Linked DNA regions of Arabidopsis thaliana. The protein of the gene in region 2 purifies or fractionates together with the protein of the main gene of each other region. This does not show direct contact. Each region holds a gene or a part of one and is shown on either strand. Other genes may lie near its edges. The genes, in order: RFC2 and AT5G63960.

Region 1 (4,694 bases), on a different chromosome or scaffold from region 2:
TACAGGAAGCAGATGACCTGTTCAGAAAAATGAAAGAAGATGGTACTCTTCCAAATAGTGGTACATATAATACGCTTATCAGAGCAAACCTTAGAGATTGTGACAGAGCCGCATCAGCAGAACTCATCAAAGAAATGAGGAGTTCTGGGTTTGTTGGAGATGCTTCAACCATTAGCTTGGTGACAAATATGTTGCATGATGGGAGATTGGACAAAAGCTTTCTCAATATGCTTTCTTAAAACAGTTTGTCCTCGAGGTAGGAGGAGTCTGAGGTGAATCATGTTGCTTTACTCTGATATTTTTCGCAACAGAGTCCTTATGTTACATGGTGTGTATTTAGTTGTTATCGTGTCTGTAAGCTTCATGAAGATGACTCTGATACGTTGTTTTGTGTATTTCAATGTTAGGTTAACACACACGAGCTACAGAAGAAGATTTCAGACGTGTCATCATTATGGTTACTGTAGTAGATTTGGTTTTTAACCAAACGTATTTTATAGTTTTGGTTCAATAAATATAACTTTATTTCGTTTCTTGTTCCCAGTTCTTTTTTCTTTTTTTTGGTCACAAGTGTGTTTATTCATAATATAAAGTCAATGTAACAGACCAAGAGTTTACACCATTTCACAATGTCATGCCTTACTCATATAGTGTTATCGAATTACACAAATAGGTTCAACATTTTACCTACAAAAATTACGATTCATCTCTCGCACTTGCGTAGACTATATAGAGTGGTTGTAATGTGTAAAATAATCTGTGTATTGTTTTTTTCATTTATGTGATTTAAACAAATAGCATGGTATTATATAAAAAAATGTGTTGGTATACCAAACTGGTTAGGATTAAGCTTAATATTCAGAAACATTCACAAGCAATTCAAATCTAGAAAACAGAGCAATACAGCATGGAAGTTCCAACATCTATCCGAATTCTCAAACAACGAGATTTAACCAACTTGGTTTAAACATAGACCGGCCACCAGTTCATCACTAGAGATGAGTGGAAGTTACCTAACTTAAGGTGCTTTCGCTGTTTCACGAACAATGGATAACTTAGCCAGAAGACCACATAGCTGAAGATAAGATCCAACTCCATCACAGATTCTCATATGCGCAAATCCAGTTTCCTGAAGAAAAGCATTGGTGTTAGACGAAAGTTTGGATGTTTTGAGCTGTCAAGGAGAATCAGATGTATACCTTCATGAACTCAAGTTTCAGATACTCAGCCATATCGTAATTCTTTATTATACGGAAAAGCGTTGTGATAATGTCGGTTGGAGAGTAGCCCAAATCATAGAGCTGCTTTAAGCCGTCACAGGCGATGTCAAACTTACTTTCCAACACATTGCGAACAATGTTCTTGACATGAAGCGGGTGAGGCTGGTCACAGACCTAAGTGAAGAGATCTTTGATTGATGATATGAAACCAATGTGTTTTATAAGCCAAAGTGAATTAAGGTTTTGTTTCAAACCTTGAAGACGTTTTCTTGGTTGACAAACGAAAACCCGCTGAATGTGGCTTGCAAGTTGTTCAGAGCTTGCCTCATGTCACCATCAGCTGTAAAGATTATCGCCTCAAGGCCTTCAGGCACATACGGAACCTTGAGAGATTGAAAACATAAGCAATTAGAAAATTTTCAAAATTGCAGTAAGTAAACATGTCGAATGAAAGAAAAGTGGCAAATCCGTACTTTCTCTGCTGCAACCACCACCAAGAGACGGCCTAGTATCTGCTGATCAGATAATCTAGAGAATCGAACTAAGGCACATCTACTCTGAATGGGCTCAATAATCTTGGCTGATGTATTACAAGCAAGTGCAAACCGCGTAGAGTTCGAATAGATTTCAATCGTTCTCCTCAATGCTTGTTGTGCTCCAGATGTCATACTAGTTTTTTAGAAACCGAAAACAGAAAGTCAGAAAAAAAAACACTTAACTGGAACAATTCAACTTGAGAAGGAATACTCAAGTAAAAGTCACTAACCTGTCAGCTTCATCTAGGATAACAACCTTATGACGCCCTGGAGGAAGTGTTACTTTCTTCTGCGCAAACATCTTAATTTTGTTCCTTACAACATCAATACCCCTACAAACATAACAGAACATTGAAGATGTCTAACCAAACAACGATTGAAGATAGAACAACATCCCATAGGTAAAAGATTGGCATCACATACCTATCATCAGATGCATTCAACTCCAGAACAGCCTCCTTGTAATTCGTGCCAAGGAGCTCATGAGCAAGAGCCAAAATGCTTGTGGTTTTACCTGTTCCAGGAGGACCCTAAGGATATACAACCAAACAACACAAAATCATATATCAAATCTCCACAAGTAATACTAAACACAGAGATTTTCTAAAAATCAAACCTTCATTAACTTTGGCAGACAATAGAAATTGATTAAAAACCCTCAAAATCTAAGCTTTATCATGAAATCTACACAGTAAACAAACCCAAAATGCCCTAATTGATCAAGTTTTCATCAAACCTAAAACTTTTTAGCAAATTCGAGGAGGGTTTAAATCAAAGAGTGTCAACAGAAGAGTAAAATCTTACGGAAAGGATAAGATTAGGCATGTTGCCGTCGCGAGCAATGACTTGAAGTCTGGAGACGGCGTCTTCGTTTCCAACGATATCGACTACTTTGCTCGGCCTGTATTTCTCCACCCATGGTTCATTGTATCCGTCACCGGTAGAGGTTGATGAAGAAGACGCCATTATCAGTCGGAAGAGAAGGAATCTCCGACCGGTGAGATTTGGAGGGTTTTCTGGTTTGGAGGGAAAATTGCTGGAGGATCCGATTAAGGGTTTTACTTTTATACAATCATTTCATTAAAGGGCCTATAAAAAGAAAACATCCGAATTCTGTACCCAAAGTATATTAATTTCACTATATAGCCCCGCCTTTTAAAACTCGTTGTTACATTTATGCCCAGTTCGGTTCGATAAATTTAAAATTGGTCTATTTTATTATAAATAGATGGGAAAAAAAACCAAAACAAACCTCAATTAATTTTTATTTGGACGTTTAATACTCAATTGTTTTTGGTTGGAAAGTAAATACACGAAATAATAAAATCATACAATTTAATACACAAATAATTAATTGTTGTTATTTTCATACTCACGATCTCACAACAAAAATAAAATTCCAATTTTACTCTTACCATCTCAATTAACTATTATTTTTTGATAATATAATATTAATTATATAATTTTAAATAAAAATTAATTTTATTAACATTTTAGTTTATGGTCTCTAAAATTTAAATTTTCATTTTTATTATTATTATATTATTCTAAAATTTAACATAAAAATTATAGAAAATCAAAAATATTTTAAAATAGTCATTATTACAATCTTCTTCTATCGTTGCAATATCAAAGAATCGTTTTCTCTTTAAGGAAATTTAGAATCAAAGATTAATCTAATTCGTTGAGATTTGGGTTGAGGTTAGCTATTTTGCTACTAAAAACAAAATTAGCCATTTTTATGAATTGATAAATCTTGAGAAATACGATGAGATTCGGGTTGAGATTTTGTCGAAAATAGTTTGATTCTTGAAGGATATACAATCGAAAAGAGAGTTTCTCACTACGAAGAATATTTACCGGCCATTTTAAAATATTTTTAATTTTCTATAATTTTTATGTTAAATTTTAGAATAATATAATAATAATAAAAATTAGAGACCATAAACTAAAATGTTAATAAAATTATTTTTTATTCAAAATTATAAAATTTAATATTATATTATAAAAAAATTAATAATTAATTGAGATGGTAAGGGTAAAATTGGAATTTTATTTTTGTTGTGAGATCGTGAGTATGAAAATAACAACAATTACTTGTTTGTGTATTAAATTGCACGGTTTTATTACTTCGTGTATTTACCTTCCAACCAAAAACAATTGGGTATTAAACGTCCAAATAAAAATTAGTTGAGTTTTTTTTTGGGTTTGTTCCCTAAATAGATGTCGTATAAACTATAATTTTTTCGATTAAAAATTTTCAATTTGGATTTGAGTTTAATTTAGATTTATTCCGGTTTTCGATTAAAAATTATGCTTAAAATTTTTCGAATTTTTGTTAATTTTTTACTCAGTTGGACAAAAGAATAAATTTCGGTTTAATATGGTTTGGTTCAGTTTCTTACCCACCCTTAATTTGAATCAAGTTAGTGTAAGTTTACCATATAGCCACTGAAAAAACTGAATATTACATATATGTCCCCTAATTTCTCTGGTTGTCATTTGAGGAGACATTAAATTCATTACAATTTTGATTTTTTATATTCATTTTTCAAACATCACGTTTCCCGATTTGTCCGACTCATCATCTTCTTTCTCTTTCTGTCTCTCTCTCTCTCTGTTCGAATCGAAACCCTAACAAATCCGAAATTGTCTCTGAGATTGAAATTGCCCCAATTTAATGGCGTAAAGCTTCACCAATTTCATCAATTCGATATCAATTTTTGAAATTTCGAAGAAAGGAAGAAACTTTGAAAAGAGAAAGCAAAATGTCAAGAGAGACGACGACGGAAGCAACGCCTTTGATTTTAACCGACGGAGGAGGAGGAAGGAGATCGGTGAGAAGACAAGGGTTAAGAGAAGCGGCGAGGTTACTAAGACATGCAAGTAGCGGGAGAATGATGATGAGAGAGCCATCGATGCTTGTTCGTGAAGCTGC
Region 2 (7,951 bases):
CGGAAAAAAAATTCATATATTCAGCAAAATTATGCATGACTTAAGAAAAATCCCTGCACTTGTGCAGCTATAAAAAGACGACCAAAGAACCATATTAAAATATTATACAAGCCAAAAATTAAAATTTAATTGTTTAGCACTCCCATTTTTCAGTTTGAGAGTGTCCATGAGATGCTGGAATTAGAGTAAAGGAACGAAAATTCCCCTAGACACATTTGTACATGTTTCTTCACGAACGGAAACGGTCAAGAGTTATCTTAACATGTAATGAAAATGCTTAATCCTGCAAATGATAGACGAAAATAGATAAAGAGTACCACAAACCTTACGCATGCGTTCAGCAAGTTCACCATGAGCTGATTTAACTTCATAATCATCTCCTGTTTTCGTTAGACCCTATGATTTGAGGAAACACATCAGGAGCATTATCCATTTGATTCTTGTTTTAGTTTTAACAGATGGCTTTAATCATTAAAATACACTTTCAGGCGATACAAACATCACAGGACAATAAATCAAGTAAAACATATTACCTTAGTAATCACCAAAAGTGACAAGTCAATACGGTTCATGAGAAGATCCGAAATGGTTTTCTTGACATTTTCAGCTGCCCCTGGAACATCTCTATCAATAAGTATTTTGTTAAGACTCTCAGTCACGAGGTTCTTAACCAGTAAACAATTATCCCTTCGTACTGTCTCGATTCCTGCCAAAGTCGGTGATATTGAAATTTAGTCAGGAAATGAATAAGAGAGAGGCTGTAAAATCACGAAGATTTACCTTTGGTGTCCATTTTGTCAAACTGTTGAGGATTTGTCCATAGCAAACCAGCATACCTCTTCTTGTTAATGAGAAGATATGGGAAATAGACCTTTTCAAACTCCAATTTGATGGGCTTTATGACATCATACACAATCAAGAAACAGAGAACGATTCAGCCTGTTATATTTTGTTTTCAAGAAATCACGTAATCTTGCACCTCTACCCCAAGGATTAGGGAGAACCGGAGAAGTTTAAGACATGCTCCTAGAAAATCACTTACTTTGATAAAAGTTCCACTAATGTGTTCTGCAGCTTCCCTCCCCAAGGTCATCGCAGCTTCTACATCCGATACTCCAAATTGCACCATGACTGAATCCGTGTCTCCATAAATGACCTAATACATCATAGTCCATCAAATTCGAGAAATCTAAGAGCAAACTTAATGATTCACTCAAGTCTTTTCAATACAACGAATAATTCAATGAACATGTACCTCTGCATTGTATTGATACCCTCCCAGTGTTGTGAATTTGTCTTCAACAAGTTTCTTTGTTTGTTCAATCATCTGACGACCTTCAAAAAGATACAAATCCATCAGAACGAACCTAAAAGGCTACGTGTCTAGAAAAGTTGCAGTTTCACAAAAGAAATACCATAGCTAGTTACACTCGAGGATATTTCTAAGCATGGTAACTGCCCAACAGTGGCTCCCGTAAACCCGTAGACAGAATTTGCACTGATCTGAGAAAAAATAGAAAACAAATGTAAAAGAGCAATTTACAGGGAGGATATTGTTCGAAATTTTCCGAGGATTGTAATCATTTTTCTGAATGACCAAGTTAAAGAAGCTGGCAGTAAAGAAGTTCACCTTCAACGCTAACTGTCTACCATCTAAAACAGCCTTCTCAAGGGGATCCTTAGCCTCCTAGATTAGACAATACCAGTTTCAATAGTAGTAGTTAAAGGCTGTATACAGATACGCACACACTGCAAGAGTTTCTTCGGAATCAAATGTTTTACCTTTAAATCTGCTTTAGCTCTCTTACGGGCAGTAAGAAGCTCTTCGAGAATTTCTGGAAGTATACCCTGAAATAAATTATTCATTTTGTTAATAAACTGCTGTCTTCCCTGAATTTATTAATTGGTTGTATTTCCTGAAAGAACTCATTCAACAGAATTTGCGGAACTTGAGGATAATAAAAATCTAACTAAATGCGGAAACCTTTTGCAAAGTTTGCTTAACAAATGTTTCCCCTGATGGAGTTTTAGTGACATGTTCAGGTGGAAGATTCAGTTTGCGTACATCTTCAGGTGTCACCTTCAAAGACAAGAACATGGAAATAATGCTCCCAAATTAATAAGGTGTATAAACAATAGATGATAAAATAAATAGAAATTGAAAAGAAAATATCAAAAGAATTACCAAGGTGCAGTAGCACAGATTATATGCCATCATAATTGACGGGTACAGTGAAGCAAAATCCAAAGTTGCAATTGGCTTTTCATAGAAACCTGTTCTTGCTTCTAAAACCTGAATATCGTTTGACATATCCAAAACAACAAACATGTCGGAACAGTGGAATTAATGCAACCGATAGGCCAAAAGGAAATGTTAGATCCATAAATCACCCACTTACAGTTGCGCCTTCATAAGTTCCTTGTTCGGACCCTGACTGTTTAGCATTTGGAAGAACCAGATTTTTCTGTTTGCCTTTCCTAAGAAGCTGAGATAAAACCTAGAAGCAAAGACACAATATATCAGCCACCTTATTAAACTGAAACACATCCAGAAACTAGAAGTTGAGAACTACCTTGATACTCTGTCCTCTCGCAAGAAGAAATGAAATAGGGACACCAGTTACACGAGCCATTTCGACATAATTATATATAAACATCAGTTTGTCCAGAAGCCTCTGAGGAAGATATGCATCCTGTAACAGAGAAAAGAAACGTGGTGAAGTTGTAGCTTCTTGTAATATTTAGTTGGTTGACTATTAATAGAGAAGCAGCTAAGTTAGTGTCTGAAAATCCTTCCACACATCCTACGAAACACATTATTCCATGTGTCACAAATATCGCCAGCAATTGCCAGAAGTCCTTCAAGCCTACCTCACATCCAGATTCCAGCATGCTCAAAAAAATCATGAATGGACATATGAGCAACCATTTCTATACACCCTTATCTACAAGGTTTCCTCTTGCCACACGTACAAAAATATAAGCAGAGATTACTAAAAAAGTTTTTAAAACACACATCAATGTTCATCTTTTACACTAGAAAGGGTGGGACTTGGGACTCCCATCATAGCTTGGGACAACATGCAATAGGACCTTTAGGTGGTTAGACAAGCTTGATAGCTAGTTAGAAAATCTTAAAGTTATCTAATAACAGGCAATGCATCAGGACATAGACAGCACTACTCCAGAATAAATAAAAGTAGGTACCTTCAAACAATAAACAGCAAGACGCCTCCTGGTTTCCGCATTCCCATTCTGGAGATCAGTTATTATAGAATGGTGGACATCTTCTTTCTGCAGAAGACAATCAGGTTAGCCACATGGAAAGTAGAAATAACCTGAAATTCTAAGCATAATTACTCGGTTTCACCTGCTCGGAAAGAAAGTGAGCTGAGACAGAATTCAGCGAATAAGAACTTAATTTGTGGTCTCTGTGTATTGCCTACAATAATTAAAAGACGAATCAGGTTGATGTTACAAATAAACAATCTAAGAATGACTCAACCAAAATGAATTTGTTAAGGACAAAAAACCTGAATAAGGTCAAACTGAAATCTTCCTTCAATTGTGGTCTCTTTACTTTCTCTTATTCCTTGTTGTCTGAAACATGGCAATATAATATTATAAGATGCGAGTTTAGAGAACTCATGAGGCACAAAAAGCATGAAGCATAACAAAAAAACAATAGAGAAAGCGATGGAAGTTAGCAAGCACCAGTTACTCCTACATCACCTTGATGAAAATGTTGAGTCCCTGACCCGGACCCTACTGTTCTTTACACGACCAAGAAGAGGAAATTCCTCTATTCCCAGTGTAGCAGCTCTCTGAGAATCAGAAAACAGCATATTTTCTAGGTTAAAGATCCATCACATATACATGTGCCATATGACCCAGCGGAGCATAGCATAATATTACATATAGAATGCTATAAGAAAGAAAAACACGCTTCTGCTAACCAGAGGTGATACTGATCCGTCAATAAAAGTAAAATCTAATGTTCAAGTACCTCAATCAGATAAGGTAAATCGAATTTGCAGATGTTATAACCAATGATGATATCAGGATCAACATCACGAATCAAATCCTGCAGCCAATACATCTCATACATCAGCAGAACACATGTTTCACCAAGCCCACAACAAAATTGCAGTAGCAACATAAAGTTTACTAAATCTTTCACTGAGTCCTCCAGGATTTAACAACTGTAATAGAACTTACTTTTGCAAGCAAGGTGCCAAAAAACAGATGAAGAAGAAGTAATGCATATATAATAATGAAGAGGCAAAAACAATACCCTCCAAGCTAGTAAGACCTCTCTTTCTGTTTCAAAAGACATGACATCTACGCCTACGATTGGAGCACATGACTTAAGAGTCATGACATTGCGTACAAATGGGTGATCCTCTCCCTGAAGAGTAACAAGGTTCGCTATCTAGAAAAGCAATGAGAATGTTGTTTCAAGAAGAATGCAAACAAAGGTAACAAAAAGGTATATCAAAAAATGACAAAAACAGCTAACCTGGATTACAGGATCATGCTTAGCTTCCGGAAAATGTCCTTTACGACCTGCACACTCAATATCGAAACTTAGTACACGGAATGGAGCCATTTTTGAGTATTCACCTTCTGCAGCATGACTGATTAGATCTGAGTACCTAAAACCCATGTTAAAGAAAGCACTGGCATAAAATACAATATGTTACTATAAGCATATTATTGTTCCAGAAAAGAAATTCCGATGAGGATACAGGCAATGGAACTCCAATTGGCAGTATGACAAAGTTCTTGCATTTTTCTTATACTTCCCAGTAGGTACTTCAATCCAATTTCCTCCGACAATATCACAATCAACCATGAAACGGAGAACGAAAAGAATATTGCTTTCATATGTCTGGAAGCTCTTCATACCCAATCCATCAATTTGTAGGCCTCTATCAAGGATGCCTACCAATTTAATAATTACAATGACTTTAAATCAGTAAAGGATAAGAGATAGTAGACACATAGCGCACAAATATTTGGGAAGTCATACCGCGACAGCTTGCCACCATAGTCGGCAATGCAACTGTAATCTTCAGAAAAGTTTGGGATTTTTGCTGTTGGTAATACATAATGCTTCTTTTCTGCACCATTTCTATACGTTTAACAAATTTCGGGACCTTGGCATTTTTATTGGATTCCCTCATCCTTCCCTGAATGAATCAGCTGAGCTTTAAAACAAAACCAGCGAGATCAAAGTACAAAATATACAGAGATCTACATAGTAAATACCTCAAGACTCTGATGGAAATTAGAAATATCGTCTGGCCCCATTCCAGGAGGGCAAGCAATGTAAAAGTATGGCTCAAATCCATGAACAAAGCAACACACACTGTTACCTGACAATATACCAGAAACTCAAATCCAACGAAATCGTTCCCCACAAAGAGCAAAAGAAAAAGAGGTTTAAAAACACTCACCTTCTCTGGTAACCCCAAACATCCTAATGATTGGAGCTTGCCCTGAGGAACCCGGTAACAGCTCCTTATGACTCTCCGCGATTATAGAGTCAATCTCCAATTGTTGGAAAACTAAACAAATCAAAATACACAAATCCAAGTGTTGAGAAATTTTCCAGCAATCATAAGATGAAGAAGCCCTTATCAAACTAAGATAGTACTCAACTGATACTCTGTGAATTCGAGAGATACGCGGGGGAGAGCGGAGGTCGAGCCCAAGCCGAGGAACGCGATTCACGCTCCTCAATGTCACGGAGGATTAGGGATTCCTCATCTTCGTCGCCGTACAAGAGAGTTTCGTCCAGAAACACGTCCTCTTCCATCATAAATTCATCATCTAGGGTTCCGATGGCCGGAGATGGTGTTGAATCACCAGTGGCTCGATGCTTACCCGCCGGTGGTGGGGTATTCGAAGGAGGCGGTCGCTTTTTGGAAATACCGGATCTATTCATGGCTTTGGGTGAGCGGGAAAAGAAGAGAATGTGTGTGATTTTGTGAGCTCGTGGAGGTCTGAGAGAAGTAGAAAGTGAGACTATACACCACTCCGATTCCCGCCAGTTTTAAGGGTTTTGCTATTAGAGATTTGATGTCAATGTGAAGTTTTTTAAGGAACTTTTCTTTAAGTCCCTAGACAATGCTATTATTAACCAAATCGTTACGGACTTTTTCTTATTGTGGTTGCAATTATTTTGAATTAAAATATATTTTGTCGGATGACCAATGTTTAAGACTTTTAAGTGCTTATACGAAGTTTTGATTGCTAAAAAAAACGAATAATTGTAGATCAAAAGAGACAACCTTATAATAGAGTTCGATCGTGATACACATAGAATCGTTCATTGTTCATTTGATCTACAATTATAAGAGAATTCGACCTCTCTTTAATTATTTTATTTTTAGTATATCAGGATTCATGACCAAGACAATTAGGCAAGTGATGGTACACTTGGTAGCTAACTAGCTAAGGTTGATGCCGCATTTCATAATGGAACTTGGTTTATGTTGGAAGCAGAACTCGAACATGTCGAGCATCTTCAAATCAATAGAGTCTCCAAACTCTTGCAGCAAATTTTGTTGTACTGTATATGGAAGGAGCCAAGTATTTACCAAGGTAGTAAGTAATGAACCCTCCACGTCCACGAGCTCACAATTTCACACATTCTCTTCCTTTTCCCGATCATCCAAAGCCATGAATAGAGCCGGAAATTCCAAAAAGCGACCGCCTCCATCAAACCGTCATTTTTTGGTTCCATCATGAGATATTGAACAAATTATTACTTGTATTATCTGAAATGACTTGTAATATCTGAAATGACTTGTAAAAAAAGTGTACCACATCGGATGTTCTTGTTACTAAACAATTCAGACCAACGCAAAAAATATTATACTATTATATCTGACCAAAAAGGAAATAAAATCATATTTTGTTGTATTGTAGGTTAAATGTGAGAGAGAGAGAGAGAGAGAGAGCGCACAAGAGCCATTTGTCTCGGAACTGAGAAATCTTCAAAATTCAAAAAAGCCAAGGAAGGCGGGATTCCAAACATTCTCTTCATCATCTTCTTCTTCTTCTCACTCTTCTCTCCATTTATCACAATCGATCATCGGGAAACACAAACTCATCTCCAGAAAACGGTGTAGCAATGGCGGAAAATACGGCCAGCCATAGAAGAAAACCTCGGAGCTTGAACGATCGTCACTACAGTATCCTCCAGGATCTTTCTGCGCCTCCTAGACAGCCTCCCTCTTCTTCTCGTACGATTGTTCTCTTCTATCGTTTCTCTATGGTTTCGGATTCGTATCTGTCTTTGATTTTGAGTTTTATTTATTATATTTGGGGACTTCAGATGGAGAAGATGAAGAGACGAAGAAGTCCATGATTAAGCTTGCTGGACGACGTCGTCTTTGCAAGGCCTTGCCAAAGGAAGACGAAGCTGATGGATATGACGATCCTGATTTGGTTGATTTCTATTCCCCAGGTAATTTTGAGATTTCACCCGATTTTAGGGTTTTCGCAAACCCATGTCTCTTAGTTTACAGAAAGAAATTGGTGTTTCCGTTGATGATGTATTTCAATTTTGTCCTAGTAGCTTACTTTGAAATTAGGGTTTCTTCGAAATCTGAGTTTCTAGTCTGGTGTTTGATTTTCGGTCTTTATAGCTGTTATTATACTGCGTTTTGTCAGATAACTTTACTTGAATACGTTTGTTTTTGCATGATGCTCTAATCAGTTAAAGGAGAGACATCACTAGACAGCGCTGGAATTGGGAACAAATTCACATCTTGGGATGAATCAAAGGAAGCTAACACTGAGCTGGCTGGCGAGCCTAACTTTTCGATAATCACAGACTTTTGTTCGCCCTCACCTCAGTTGAAGCAAAAAGAGGAAATGCAAGGTGATGGAGGAAGGAACGAGATCATGGGTATTTTGGATGATTTGACCTCTAAGCTTG

Evidence for each region.
Region 1: the proteins of AT5G63960 (region 2) and RFC2 fractionate together in Arabidopsis thaliana (co-fractionation; one large-scale study listed by BioGRID). This does not show direct contact.

The regions. Positions count from the first base shown.
Region 1 is NC_003070.9:23,421,050-23,425,743, forward strand, and holds RFC2 (replication factor C 2), read right to left. Parts: upstream 2,866-4,694; 5' UTR 2,723-2,865; coding exon 2,561-2,722; intron 2,287-2,560; coding exon 2,180-2,286; intron 2,089-2,179; coding exon 1,987-2,088; intron 1,890-1,986; coding exon 1,694-1,889; intron 1,604-1,693; coding exon 1,475-1,603; intron 1,395-1,474; coding exon 1,200-1,394; intron 1,130-1,199; coding exon 1,019-1,129; 3' UTR 785-1,018; downstream 1-784. Other genes in the region: AT1G63150 (Tetratricopeptide repeat (TPR)-like superfamily protein), read left to right, coding at 1-239; AT1G63170 (Zinc finger, C3HC4 type (RING finger) family protein), read left to right, coding at 4,525-4,694. UniProt on the Arabidopsis thaliana protein: May be involved in DNA replication and thus regulate cell proliferation.
Region 2 is NC_003076.8:25,597,596-25,605,546, reverse strand, and holds the start of AT5G63960 (DNA polymerase delta subunit 1), read right to left. Parts: upstream 6,034-7,951; 5' UTR 5,951-6,033; coding exon 5,665-5,950; intron 5,571-5,664; coding exon 5,460-5,570; intron 5,379-5,459; coding exon 5,272-5,378; intron 5,193-5,271; coding exon 5,033-5,192; intron 4,945-5,032; coding exon 4,749-4,944; intron 4,656-4,748; coding exon 4,520-4,655; intron 4,433-4,519; coding exon 4,244-4,432; intron 4,085-4,243; coding exon 4,007-4,084; intron 3,825-4,006; coding exon 3,733-3,824; intron 3,601-3,732; coding exon 3,534-3,600; intron 3,443-3,533; coding exon 3,371-3,442; intron 3,295-3,370; coding exon 3,208-3,294; intron 2,694-3,207; coding exon 2,574-2,693; intron 2,499-2,573; coding exon 2,400-2,498; intron 2,294-2,399; coding exon 2,186-2,293; intron 2,081-2,185; coding exon 1,985-2,080; intron 1,849-1,984; coding exon 1,783-1,848; intron 1,688-1,782; coding exon 1,631-1,687; intron 1,504-1,630; coding exon 1,416-1,503; intron 1,336-1,415; and 10 more. Other genes in the region: CHR24 (chromatin remodeling 24), read left to right, coding at 7,142-7,253, 7,346-7,477, 7,730-7,951. UniProt on the Arabidopsis thaliana protein: This polymerase possesses two enzymatic activities: DNA synthesis (polymerase) and an exonucleolytic activity that degrades single-stranded DNA in the 3'- to 5'-direction.